Linked DNA regions of Callithrix jacchus. The protein of the gene in region 2 purifies or fractionates together with the protein of the main gene of each other region. This does not show direct contact. Links are inferred from orthologs where the notes say so. Each region holds a gene or a part of one and is shown on either strand. Other genes may lie near its edges.

Region 1 (3,650 bases), on a different chromosome or scaffold from region 2:
GTGTGCCAAATATAAATTAGCAAATCTATGAAAGCCAAAGACTGTGAGGTCAGCTGCCTGGCTGATGGGCAATGACACAGTTTCACCTCTGCTCCCCCTTTAGAGTTGTGAGCCCTTAAAAAGGGAAAGCTGCTGCTTCTCAGGGAGCTCAGTGAATGAAGCTGTAGCCCCCCCAATTCCCAGCCAACAAAAAGCCACTTCCTTCCTCAGTTCGGTGTTCAAGAGGTTTGTTTCTCACTGCTCCTGCTTCAGTAGTTTAATTTGCTTTATGTTTGTGCCAACAAAGCTTTCTCCTCCTCTGGAGTTTGATTCTCTCCCTCCCTCTTTTCTTCTCTTTCCTCCTCCTTTCTAACACTGCCTAATACATAGTAATATGCTTCAAGGTTTTTTTAAGTTCGCAGTCACACAACCAATGGAAGCCTCTCAAATCCAGACTCAGTGCTCTCTGCATTGAAACCACTGATCCCTGATATCCTATTATCTTCCTTCTTGGTTTATTCCCTAATTTTGCTGGACTACGTTTTCAAATAACAAGAAAAGGTACAGAACAGGTCAAAAAAATTCTATTCAGCCCCAACTTACGATTGACAGTTTGGCTGGAGGGGGAACCCCAGGCTGACAATTATTACAATTATTTGCCTTTAAAACATTGGAGGTATCTTTCTAATTCCAGGATCCATGATAGCTGATAAGAACTATGATAAAGTCTGGTTTTTATTGTTTTTTAGGCGACTGGTATTTTTCTCTCAGGAATTTCTTTCTTTTCTCAGTATCTTGAAATATCACAATAAAGACTCCACTTATATGCATCTATCTAAGGCAAATTTTCTTGATTTTTTTGTTTTGTAATTTCCTTCCATCCATTTTTTTCTATCTTCTGAGTTTTCTTACAGTAACGTTAGACCTCCTAGATGCAACCTCGCTACCATATCATTTTTGTCAAATATTTTCTAATCTTGCCTTTCTGTTCTAGCTAATGAGAAATTTCCTTAATTCCTAATGAATTTATTTCAACCATTATAATTTCCAAGAGACTACCCTTGCTTTCTGCTATTCCTTTTTAAAAAACACCCTATTCTGTTTTACAGTACTGTACCTTTTGATCTTGTGCTTAACAAACCTAAAGATGTTTAGTAGGGTTTTTTCTTAAAGTATTTTTGTCCTCTTAATTAGCTCTGGTCCTACCAGGACATATCTTTCATCTTTTATTTTCCTTGTCATGTTGTGAGTTTTATTCAAACTATCAGGTGAACCAAGGTTGTTTTCTATTTAAGAGTAAGGGAGCAGAAGATCATTGGGAGCTGATGACTAGCTTCTGTTATGTATGAAGAAGTGGGTAGCCAGTAGGGCAGGATATCCTCAGCTACCATTTTCTAGGGTGCAAAATCCACACTATCTACCCTCGTTCTCCCCAGTTACTTTGCTGGTTTTCAAAATCAAATGATCTCATTTTAGGAGAGTGAAGGTAAGGCTGGGAGTCAACTCTTCCATATACAAACTGTCAAGGAGCTCCCTCTATGTTAGTCACATTTCTGGTTCCTTTCCTTCCTCCTATATGCATATCTGAGTATGGAGCTATTTCTGCAGTGGGGATTAGATTCCCTCTGAGCTGTAGGCTTCCCTATGCATATTTTAGGTGACTGTTTTCCTTTGTTCTACTGCTTCGGTTTCATACTCATTTCCATTTGTCTTTTGTATTTCAAAATTACGTTGAAATTTCTTCAATTCTCTTGACTACTGTAGGCTTACGTATTTCAGAAATTTTGATAACATCATTTCATGGGGTTCTTAAAATAGAAAAGAGCTGAGAGAATTCTCAGTGCATCTTGAATCAGAACTTCCCAAGTTATATTTCCTAACCTTCTTGGTCTTTCCCAATGGCTACAATCACTTTTAGAATACAATTTCCTAATCCTCTGGTGAAGAAAATAAATATAACACATTTAAAACAATAATGAACATGACTTAGACATTCTAGGATTTTGTTTTTCCTCTGGAACTTGGTAATAAACCACTTAGGTGCTACACACTGTAGGTGCTCATTTATAAAAGGAACAATTCTAGATTATAGATTTTTCCAATATTCTATTATTTTTGTAATTAGTTATCTTAAAAAAATCTCTAATTACTTATCATTAACTTTAATTTTAGAAATAAAAATCAGTCTTCATTTTTTGAAAATCAAAAAGTGACTTCCATCGTCACATAAAAATAAGATAACTGCCCTTCTACCATGTGAGGACATGGTGAGAAGCCATCTGTGAACCACAAAGCAGGCCCTCACCAGACACCAAATCTGCCTGATCTTAGACTCCCCTGCCTCCAGAACTGTGAGACATAAATTCCTGTTGTTTATAAGCTAAATACAAGTATATAGAAAAGGGATAATTCCTTCTATATTTGTAAGTTTCATACTAAAAGAAAATTGTATTTATTTTGATAAATTGTGGACTTCCTAGCATACACAAAAAAGATAAGACCTCCCAAAGGGTCCTGAATCAGCTGGGTACATTCATTCAGTGCTTAATTTCTTTGAGTTTATCTTATGATCATTAAGGTCTTCCCTAAATCTAATATTCTATGATTCTAAGGAAAAAAATATATTACTGATGACATGTTCCAATTTTTATTTCTTAGAGTTCAGACGTCCTCCCTTTTACCTTGTTGTATGATAAAGAACCATTCAAGGGATATGAGAAAGAAGCAAGGGAAAATCCCATGCAAGCTGTCCAGTGCACAATCAAGCTTTCACCAAAACTAACTGCAGTTTGAAATAAACTTCTCCATATCTTTAAAGTGACAGCTTTGTACCTGTAATGCTTCTTGTTTTATGCTAGTTTTCTCAGGCACTTCATGAACACTCTCTGAGGAATCATCAACTTCTTCAGTTTCAGAGGATGAAGGACTCTCTACTGTCACAGTCACAGGAAAACCTGGTTGCTTAAAGAAAGAGGACAAGATTGCATAATAATATAAACCAAATACCAAATATAAAGAACATCTAATCAAAGTGATCTTTCTGAAGTGTTAAGCTATACATGTCTATCACTACACCTTAGCCTAACACAATCAATAACAAAGTAAAAAGACACCTATTCTTGCCATGTCACTGACAGAATTCTCTTATACAAGGTTTATGATTAATATTGGAATTGCCCATATTATTTTCTTTTTTCATAAAATCTTTCCAAAAAGAACCCCTATTATTTTATTACATTCTTCTCACATAAACCCAGCAAGGAGGCAGTATAAACATTTTTTTCTCAGATCAACTTTATAGTGCAGATGAGAAATTTTTTCTCTACCACTACACACAGTCTTAAAGAAAGTATAATTATTAGGAGAAAAATCCATCAGTGGAGGCTTCATAAAGAATTGGAAGAATAATTTAAACTGTGAATAATAAACACTAGAATAGACTGTAATCCCAGCACTATGGGAGGCCAAGGCAGGAGGATGCTTGAGGTCAGGAGTTTGAGACCAGTCTGGAAAGCATAGCAAGACCCTGTCTCTACAAAATGAAAACAAGAATTAAAAAAAAAAATTAACCAAATACATACACACAACTAAAACTACACATCAAAAACCTCACCTTTTCCTCATTCTTAAGCCAAAACTAGTGAAATAACAATGCAATTCTGTCAAATTTC
Region 2 (3,750 bases):
GTTGATGATGGGAGCAAGAAGCATTAAGGAGGGGCTTTGGAGAACCCAGGGCCTAAGAGGCTGGGGAAGCAGAGCAGAAGATGAGCAGGGCCTGTCCAGCAGCCACACCCTCAGGAATCTGCACTCTGTAACTCCTGTAGCCTCCTCTACCCCTGCCAACACCTCCCCCTCCCTGACATGCACACAGCCATGCACCTACAGACACCCCTAAACACCTCCTTCCCACCTCTGGGAAGGAGAAGGGGGAGCACCCAGGCTTTCCCAACTGCACACACATTCCAAGTGTGCTTGGTGACACATTTCACTGTTCAAGTATTACATTTGCCAGATACACAAGCATGCATTAGGCACCCAGTCCTCACAACAAATACTTTCACATCTAAGCATATGAACACACAAAGCTACAGACAATCCAGGGCCACATCCTGGCTTGGTTCTGGCACATGGGTCCTGCATCACTGGAAGGAGATTTATTGGCATCTTTGGTGGGACATCTTTGGACTCTGTCTTACCCTGCCCTGCCTCTTCCACCCCCTGCTCTGTAGTGTGCCTGAGAAAGAAGAAGCCTCATCTGAAAGAGCGAGGAGTGCTTTTGGAGCTGCCCAGAAGCAGAGAAAATGCAAGAAGAGCCCAGCCCTGGCCCCAGGACCAAGGCCTACAGATAGGCATGCTCTACCTACTCCCACGTCCAAGCACACCCACTACCTGGGTAGGAAAGTGGACAGCAGCAGGTTCTCTGGGCCTCAGTCTTCTCCTTCACTCTCCTCCCTCTCCTGCTCCCATCCTTCTACGAGCTTTTCACTCCCAGCACCTTCTAGGCTTACCCAGGTGCACCCACCAGCTCATCCTTACCCTGGTGTCACCCCACAATTCCTGTGCTTCCTCCAGCAATGCCCTTCCCTAGGGCTGGGAAGTGAGGCCAGCTGTCCCATATCCACCCCTGCTCTCCTTTAGGCTAGACAAGACTGCTACTGCAAGTGTCCAGGAGTGTCACAGAAGCTACCAATTAGAGGCTCAAGGTTACCATCCTTGAGAACACCAGCCTAGACAAAGAGGAAATCCCAGTCATTCACTGGGTGCCCTGCTCCTGCCTCGTGGCCCTGATAGCCCCCCAGAGAAAATGAGGAGAGGGAATGCCACTCCATTTCCCAAAGGGTGTGTAATTATGTCTGATTACATTCACATCCACCACTCTCACTTTACAGAGAAAGAAACAGATGCCACAAAGTCAACAATGTAAGTGCCCACATGGTCCATGGGCACAAGTACTGGGGAGATAAAAAAGCAAGCACACCCAGCCTCTTTTGCCTCAGGTTCCTGGGGTTGGAAATCCTTCCAGGAGGAAGAAGAGTGGAATTAACATTGGGGAGAGGGTCTGTGTTGGCCTGGCCTCCAAGCTCTCAGAAACCCCTGTATTTGTTTTTTATTTCTGTATTTTCTTGAGACGGAGTCTCGCTCTGTCCCCAGGCTAAAAGGCAATAAAGCAGTCTCTTCTCACTGCAACCTCTGCCTCCTGGGTTCAAGTGATTTTCCTGTCTCAGCCTCCTGAGTAGCTGGGATTACAGGTGCACACCACCACACCTGGCTAGTTTTTTGTATTTTTAGTAGAGATGGGGTTTCATCATGTTGCCCAGGCTGGTCTGGAACTCCTGACCTCAAGTGATCCACCCACCTTGGCCTCCCAAAGTGCTGGGATTACAGGTGTGAGCCACTGTGCCCGGCCCAGAATGATCTTTAGCTACTCAGGAGGCTGACACAGAATTGCTTGAACTGGCACCCTGGAGGTGGAAGCTGCAGTGGGCCAAGGTCACGCCACTGCACTCCAGCCTGGGCTATGGAGCAAGACTCCATCTAAAAAAAATAAACAAATAAATAATTTTAAAATAAAAATAAAAATCATTCTTATGGCTAGGCGTGGTGGCTCACGCCATAATCCCAGCACTTTGGGAGGCCGAGGCTGATGGATCACCTAAGGTTGGGAGTTCTAGACCAGCCTGGCCAAGATAGCAAAACCCTATCTCTACTAAAAAGGTACAAAATTTATCCGGCTGTGCGCCTGTATCCCAGCTACTCAGAGTCCTGAGGCACAAGAATTGCTTGAACCCAGTGAGCCGAGATTGCTCCACTGCACTCCAGCCTAGGTGACAGAGCAAGACTCTGTCTCAAAATAAAATAAAAAAATGATAATAATAATAATATTTGAAATTAAAGAAAAGAGAGGGGGGGCCTAGAGAAAAATGGCTTTGTCAAATGGGACAAATTCAGAGGTTAGAGATCCACCCATCACCTGAAGTAAATACCTCTACCGTGGGCCTGGCCCTCTTGGAGATGTTGCCAGATACAGCCTGGAGTACCCAGTTAGGCCTGGGAGCCAAAATCCTCAAGGAGAGGAGTTTCTAGGTGTAGAGGGTGTCATGGGCTCTTACTGTGGGGAAGCTCTTCTTCATCCCTTAGAGATGGAGATGTCTCTCTATGAAAAGTCACATGATATTCCTAAGGGGAGCCCCCTTTGCCCTGCTCCTGCTTCACCAGGCCCAGACTTGTCACAAGATAGCCTTCTATGAAGTCACAAAGCTGGCTGCCCCACCACAGGACCAGGGACCAGGGCAACCAGGGACTAGTGGGCATGACTTTGGGGGAGAAAGGACTTCATAAGCAGCCTGTAGACTCTGGAGAGAGGTGTAGAGTCTGGAGGAGCTCACCAGACCAGCCTCAGGCTCTAGTGGGTGAGAAGGGTTGTTGGAGACTCCAGATGGGGTCAGTTTCTCTGGTCTCAGTCATCACCAAAAGATGAGAATGGTTGGGGTCTGAGCCTGTATTCCTTAACCATTGTCCTGTCCTTTGAGACCCTAGGGCAGGAGGAGGACCCTTGACCCAGCTGAGTACATATAAGTGTCCTGATCACTGATGTTCTGGGTGATCTATTGAAAGAGGAGGTTAAGGCCCCTGATCCAGGGACCAGATATTCTCCTCAGTGCCATCCCTCTATGACTATCTTTTTTTTTTTTTTTTTTTTTTTTTTTTTTTCCTTTTTTGAGATGAAGTTTCACTCTTGTTGCCCAGGCTGGAGTGCAGTGGCATAATCTTGGCTCACTGAGATGTACATTTTCCGGGTTCAAGCGATTTTCATGCCTCAGCCTCTCAAGTAGTTGGGATTACAGGTGCCTGCCACCACACCTGTAAATTTTGTATTTTTAGTAGAGACAGGGTTTCAACATGTTGGCCAGGCTGGTGTCGAACTCCTAACCTCAGATGATCCACCTACCTCGGCCTCCCAAAGTGCTGGGATTACATGTATGAGCCATGCCTGACTATCCATTCCTACCTGTTTCCTGGGCAAGCACATAGACCAAACTCGGCTGCAAAGCAGCCCTGGGCTGGGCGAGGTGGCTCACACCTGTAATTCCAGCACTTTGGGAGGCCGATGTGGGCAGATCACGAGTTCAAGAGATCGAGACCATCCTGACCAACATGGTCATCTCTACTGAAAAATACAAAAATTAACTGGGTGTGGTAGCACACACCTGTAGCCCCAGCTACTTGGGAGGCTGAGGCAGAATAATCACTTGAACTGGGAGGCAGAGGTGGTGAACTGGGAGGCAGTGAGCCGAGATTGTGCCACTGCACTCCAGCCTGGTGTCAGAGCCAGACTCTGTCTCAAAAAAAAAGAAGAAAAGCAACCCTGGTAGCCTTGGTAGCCTGGAACCCCTAACTGCTGGATTACACAGAGGAAGAAGAGTGTCAGAAGAA
Region 3 (3,750 bases), on a different chromosome or scaffold from region 2:
TTTCCTTTTCTGTAAATAGGGATATTCACAGTAGTTGTTATGATGAAATAAAGTAAATGAAATGTATATAAAGTGCTTAGCTTAGTGCTTTACACATACTAGAAACCTAGTAAGTGCTAGCTGTCATTAGCATTATTAATTATTAACCTGTCTTTTAATCCTATTCTCAAAGAACAGTGTGTTGAAGGGTGGGATTCCCTGTATGTCAGCCTCAAATTAAAAAGTAGCTCTAAGATTATAGTTTCCTATGATCACTATTTCAGAATTTGTCATCAGTAAATTAAACTCTTGAATAAAAGTACATTTTTGTCTCATTGATGCAGTCCAAGATAGCTAGGATGAATATAATTAGAGTCATAATTAGACAGTGAGGCAGGCTGTTTCTAAATATTTAAGAGTACATCAACCTAAAATGCAGCCTGCTACAGAAAGAAGACAACCAAGCAACTTAATCAGCCATAGAGAGCAGTCAGTCAACGTATCTACAAAGTTTTTTTAGATGTCTGCCCACAGAAAGAATCCAAATTTAATTCCTAAGCTTTGCCAGATTTCAACCGAAAGCTGAAAAATGTGTAGACTTCATGTTGGAAGTCAAAACATGAATCGAAATCTTGGCTTCTCCCTTTACTGGAGAAACGAAGAAAGACAAATTACTATGCTCCTCTTACATATATTTTAGAGGACTCTTTTTATACATTATCTCATCTTTATGACAACACCAATAGGTAGGTCTTATTTACATGTTACGATAATTGAAGATGGATAAGTAAATTTCCTAAGGTCAATTAACTAGTTAGTGATAGTGTGAGATTTGATCTTAGGTCTGACTAATGCTCAGTTAGGAGTTCACTTATCTCAGTGTGACCATAAGTTACATAATGCATTTGCTTGTTTTTTCTTTTAATTTGTAAAAAAAAGGATAGATATACTGTACTGGGTTGTCATCAAGATTAAATGAGGTGGAAATCTCTAGCTAGGTGCCTCCACAATTCACCACTGTGGAATCTGAATACTGAGAGACGTCTACGGCCGTAACACCCTGAACGCACCTGATCTCGTCTGAGTACTGAAAGGCAAGGCTAGCCCTGTAAAAAAAAAACTGAAGCAGTAGAAGTAGGTCTTCTTTTTGACCACATCTCTCCTTTCTATCTATCCATTAGCTTTTGTGCTCTTTTTACTTTCTCCCAAACACTGCTCTCAGGAAAAAGAAAATATGGGTAAAGATCCCTTGACTTGTCACCACTCCCAGGGAAAAATGGATATTGCTAAAGGGCAAAGAGCCTTAAGCTCTAGTTTTATAATATTTGGTTTATGGGGACTGGTGGAGTAACATTTTAGAGACCAGGTAGAGCCTCCGTGTGTCTCCTAAATAATTACCAGCAATCGAAAAACTATTATAGGCCCAGGCCTGATGCTTGTAATCCCACCACTTTGGAAGGCCAAGGGGAAAGGATCGCTTGAAGCCAGGAGCTAGAGACCAGCCTGAGCAACACAGCGAGGACCCATCTCTATTTAAAAAATATAAAATAAAATAGTTCATAGCTATTTTTGAGACCTTGGGCTGCTGACTCGATTTCTGCAAACAGCTGCAGTCCCCAGTTTGGGGTAGAAGACCCAAACAAGGTGCATGCCGATACTGGGTTCAAGGCAGTGTGTGGGGCATATATGACAATACGAATGTTCAGAAGCAACAATTTAAATCACCGCTTGTTGTTCTCCCTTGACATCATCCGGGGACAAATGGGTTAAAGCGACAAAAAAGGGAGTCAAAGCCCCAGAGGAGGGCTTAGACTCTACTTGCAAATCCAAAGCGCCTATTCTGTCCCCCTCCCCGTCGGTGAAAGCTCTTCAGAACCCTTTCAACTCCCATTCCCTCCGGGTCTCTTAAACTCCCGCCACCCCTTCCCTCCCCTGCGTCTCGCCAGGGACCTCCTCACTCCTTAGTCCAGGGCTTCGCCGCCAGGATTTCTTGCTGCTGCTTCTTGTCGTATTTGTAGATTTCATCGATACTCTGAGCTTCCTGCATGTTGTTGGCCAATTCCCAGGTTTTCTGGGCCATACCGCTCCCGGACGCCGCCATCGCCGAGGAAACGGAGAAGCTGTCGTATCCACAACCAAGGGACAACTTTACCTCGCTAGGTCTCCTGGTGTGGGCCTTGGACCCTCCGCCCCACGGGAGCAAACTCTTAACTAGACTCTTGGGGCAGCCATGACACCTAGAACCGGAGGTGCAGTTAGTACAGACCATTCAGAGAAGACAGGGGTCTTTCCGGGACGTGACGATAAAAACAGTATTTACACTAATAGGGAGAGACAAATCTTCTTGTGGTTTAAATGAGAACATCTGGACTCGGGAAATTGTATGTGCGAAATAAACAAACAAAATTATAGGCTATGGTAATGGTATAGTCTTCCGCACCGGAAGACGGGCATGAACCTTCTCTCTTTGTACTGCGCAGACTCGGCCTCCGCCATATTAAAGGTAGGTGGAGCCTGGGATGTGGGGGGCGGAAAGTGTTTTTGTGTGGGTATAGGTACCTTAAACGAGATAAGTTTGTTGAAAGACTAAAAGGGAAGGCTGTCTGTTGTAAAACGGAGCTATACGTTGTTATGGAAGTTTGTTGAGAGGAAGAGAAACATGGCATTCCAGTTTACTTTAAGGTGATTCGTTGCACATGCGTAAAAGCTAACTGGCTTGTGGTGGCTTGGCACTTCGCATGCAGATGGGCTTTTTCTAGAGATGCGAGGATGCGGTGGGTACTCCTTGATTGATATTACCATGCCTTTTTGCGCGTCGGTAAAGGTTAACATCTGCATATGAATTACGTGCCATTACTGATCCGAAAATGCCCAGTACTCTGTTCTTTTAACAGGTTACAGTTAAATCTTTGGCACTGCTGTGAACCTCATTTGCCCCCAAGGCCTAATTAATCTCGGCAACTGGTTAGTTTTCTTCCTACAGTTAATACTATGCTTAGTTATTTTATTTATTAGTTTACGTGTTTTAGATTTTCTTTTTTCTCCATCTCTTTACTCCATCCGCGCAAAATTTTAAGTTTCAAGACACAGGGAGCAAGTCTGCTTTCCTTGTTTTATCCTCTAGCACCCTCAGTATATTTTTTTCCCTGAAAAGATAGCATCACAGGCCAGGCATGGTGGCTCACACCTGAAATCCCAGCACTTAGGGAGGCCGAGGTGTGCTGATCACTTGAGGTCAGGAGTAAGACCAGCCTGGTCAACATGGTGAAACTCCATCTCTGCTAAAAAAAAAAAAAAAAAAAAAAAAAAAAAAAAAAAAAAAAAAAAAAGAGAGAGAGAGAGAGAGAGAGAGAAAGAAAAGAAAAAACAAAAGAATTAGCCAGGCGTGCTGGTGCGCACCTGTAGTCCCAGCTACTCAGGAGGCTGAGGCAGGAGAATCACTTGAACCTGGGAGGCGGAGGAGGTTGCAGTGAGCCGAGCCTTTTTTTTTTTTTTTTGAGATAGAGTCAGACCCTGTCACAAAACAAAACAAAACAAAACAAAACAAAAACAAAACAGAAAAAATAGCATTACAGCTATTAACAACCTGGTCCCTACGCACCTCTTCAGCATCATGTCTCTTTAGTCTCCCCTCAAACTTTCCATTCTAGCAATGCAAATATCTTTACTTTGGCTTTGCATATGTGGTCAGCATTGCTTGAAATGCTCCTTCCTAACTTTTTTGCTTGGGAACTCATATTAATCTTTAAATATACAGCCCAGTGATACTGA

What was found.
Region 1: the proteins of DCAF1 (region 2) and CEP78 purify together in Homo sapiens (affinity purification with western blotting; 3 studies listed by BioGRID, with this or other methods). This does not show direct contact. The link is inferred for Callithrix jacchus from reciprocal best matches to the Homo sapiens genes DCAF1 and CEP78.
Region 3: the proteins of DCAF1 (region 2) and COPS5 purify together in Homo sapiens (affinity purification with mass spectrometry; 8 studies listed by BioGRID and IntAct, with this or other methods). This does not show direct contact. The link is inferred for Callithrix jacchus from reciprocal best matches to the Homo sapiens genes DCAF1 and COPS5.

What each region holds. Positions count from the first base shown.
Region 1 is NC_133502.1:104,719,536-104,723,185, forward strand, and holds part of CEP78 (centrosomal protein of 78 kDa), read right to left. Parts: intron 2,941-3,650; coding exon 2,812-2,940; intron 1-2,811. UniProt on the Homo sapiens protein: Centriole wall protein that localizes to mature centrioles and regulates centriole and cilia biogenesis. Involved in centrosome duplication: required for efficient PLK4 centrosomal localization and PLK4-induced overduplication of centrioles.
Region 2 is NC_133516.1:34,070,898-34,074,647, forward strand, and holds the start of DCAF1 (DDB1- and CUL4-associated factor 1), read right to left. Parts: upstream 2,496-3,750; 5' UTR 2,288-2,495; intron 1-2,287. UniProt on the Homo sapiens protein: Acts both as a substrate recognition component of E3 ubiquitin-protein ligase complexes and as an atypical serine/threonine-protein kinase, playing key roles in various processes such as cell cycle, telomerase regulation and histone modification.
Region 3 is NC_133517.1:22,942,167-22,945,916, forward strand, and holds the start of COPS5 (COP9 signalosome complex subunit 5), read right to left. Parts: upstream 2,215-3,750; 5' UTR 2,081-2,214; coding exon 1,938-2,080; exon of another isoform or gene 1,851-1,937; intron 1-1,850. UniProt on the Homo sapiens protein: Probable protease subunit of the COP9 signalosome complex (CSN), a complex involved in various cellular and developmental processes.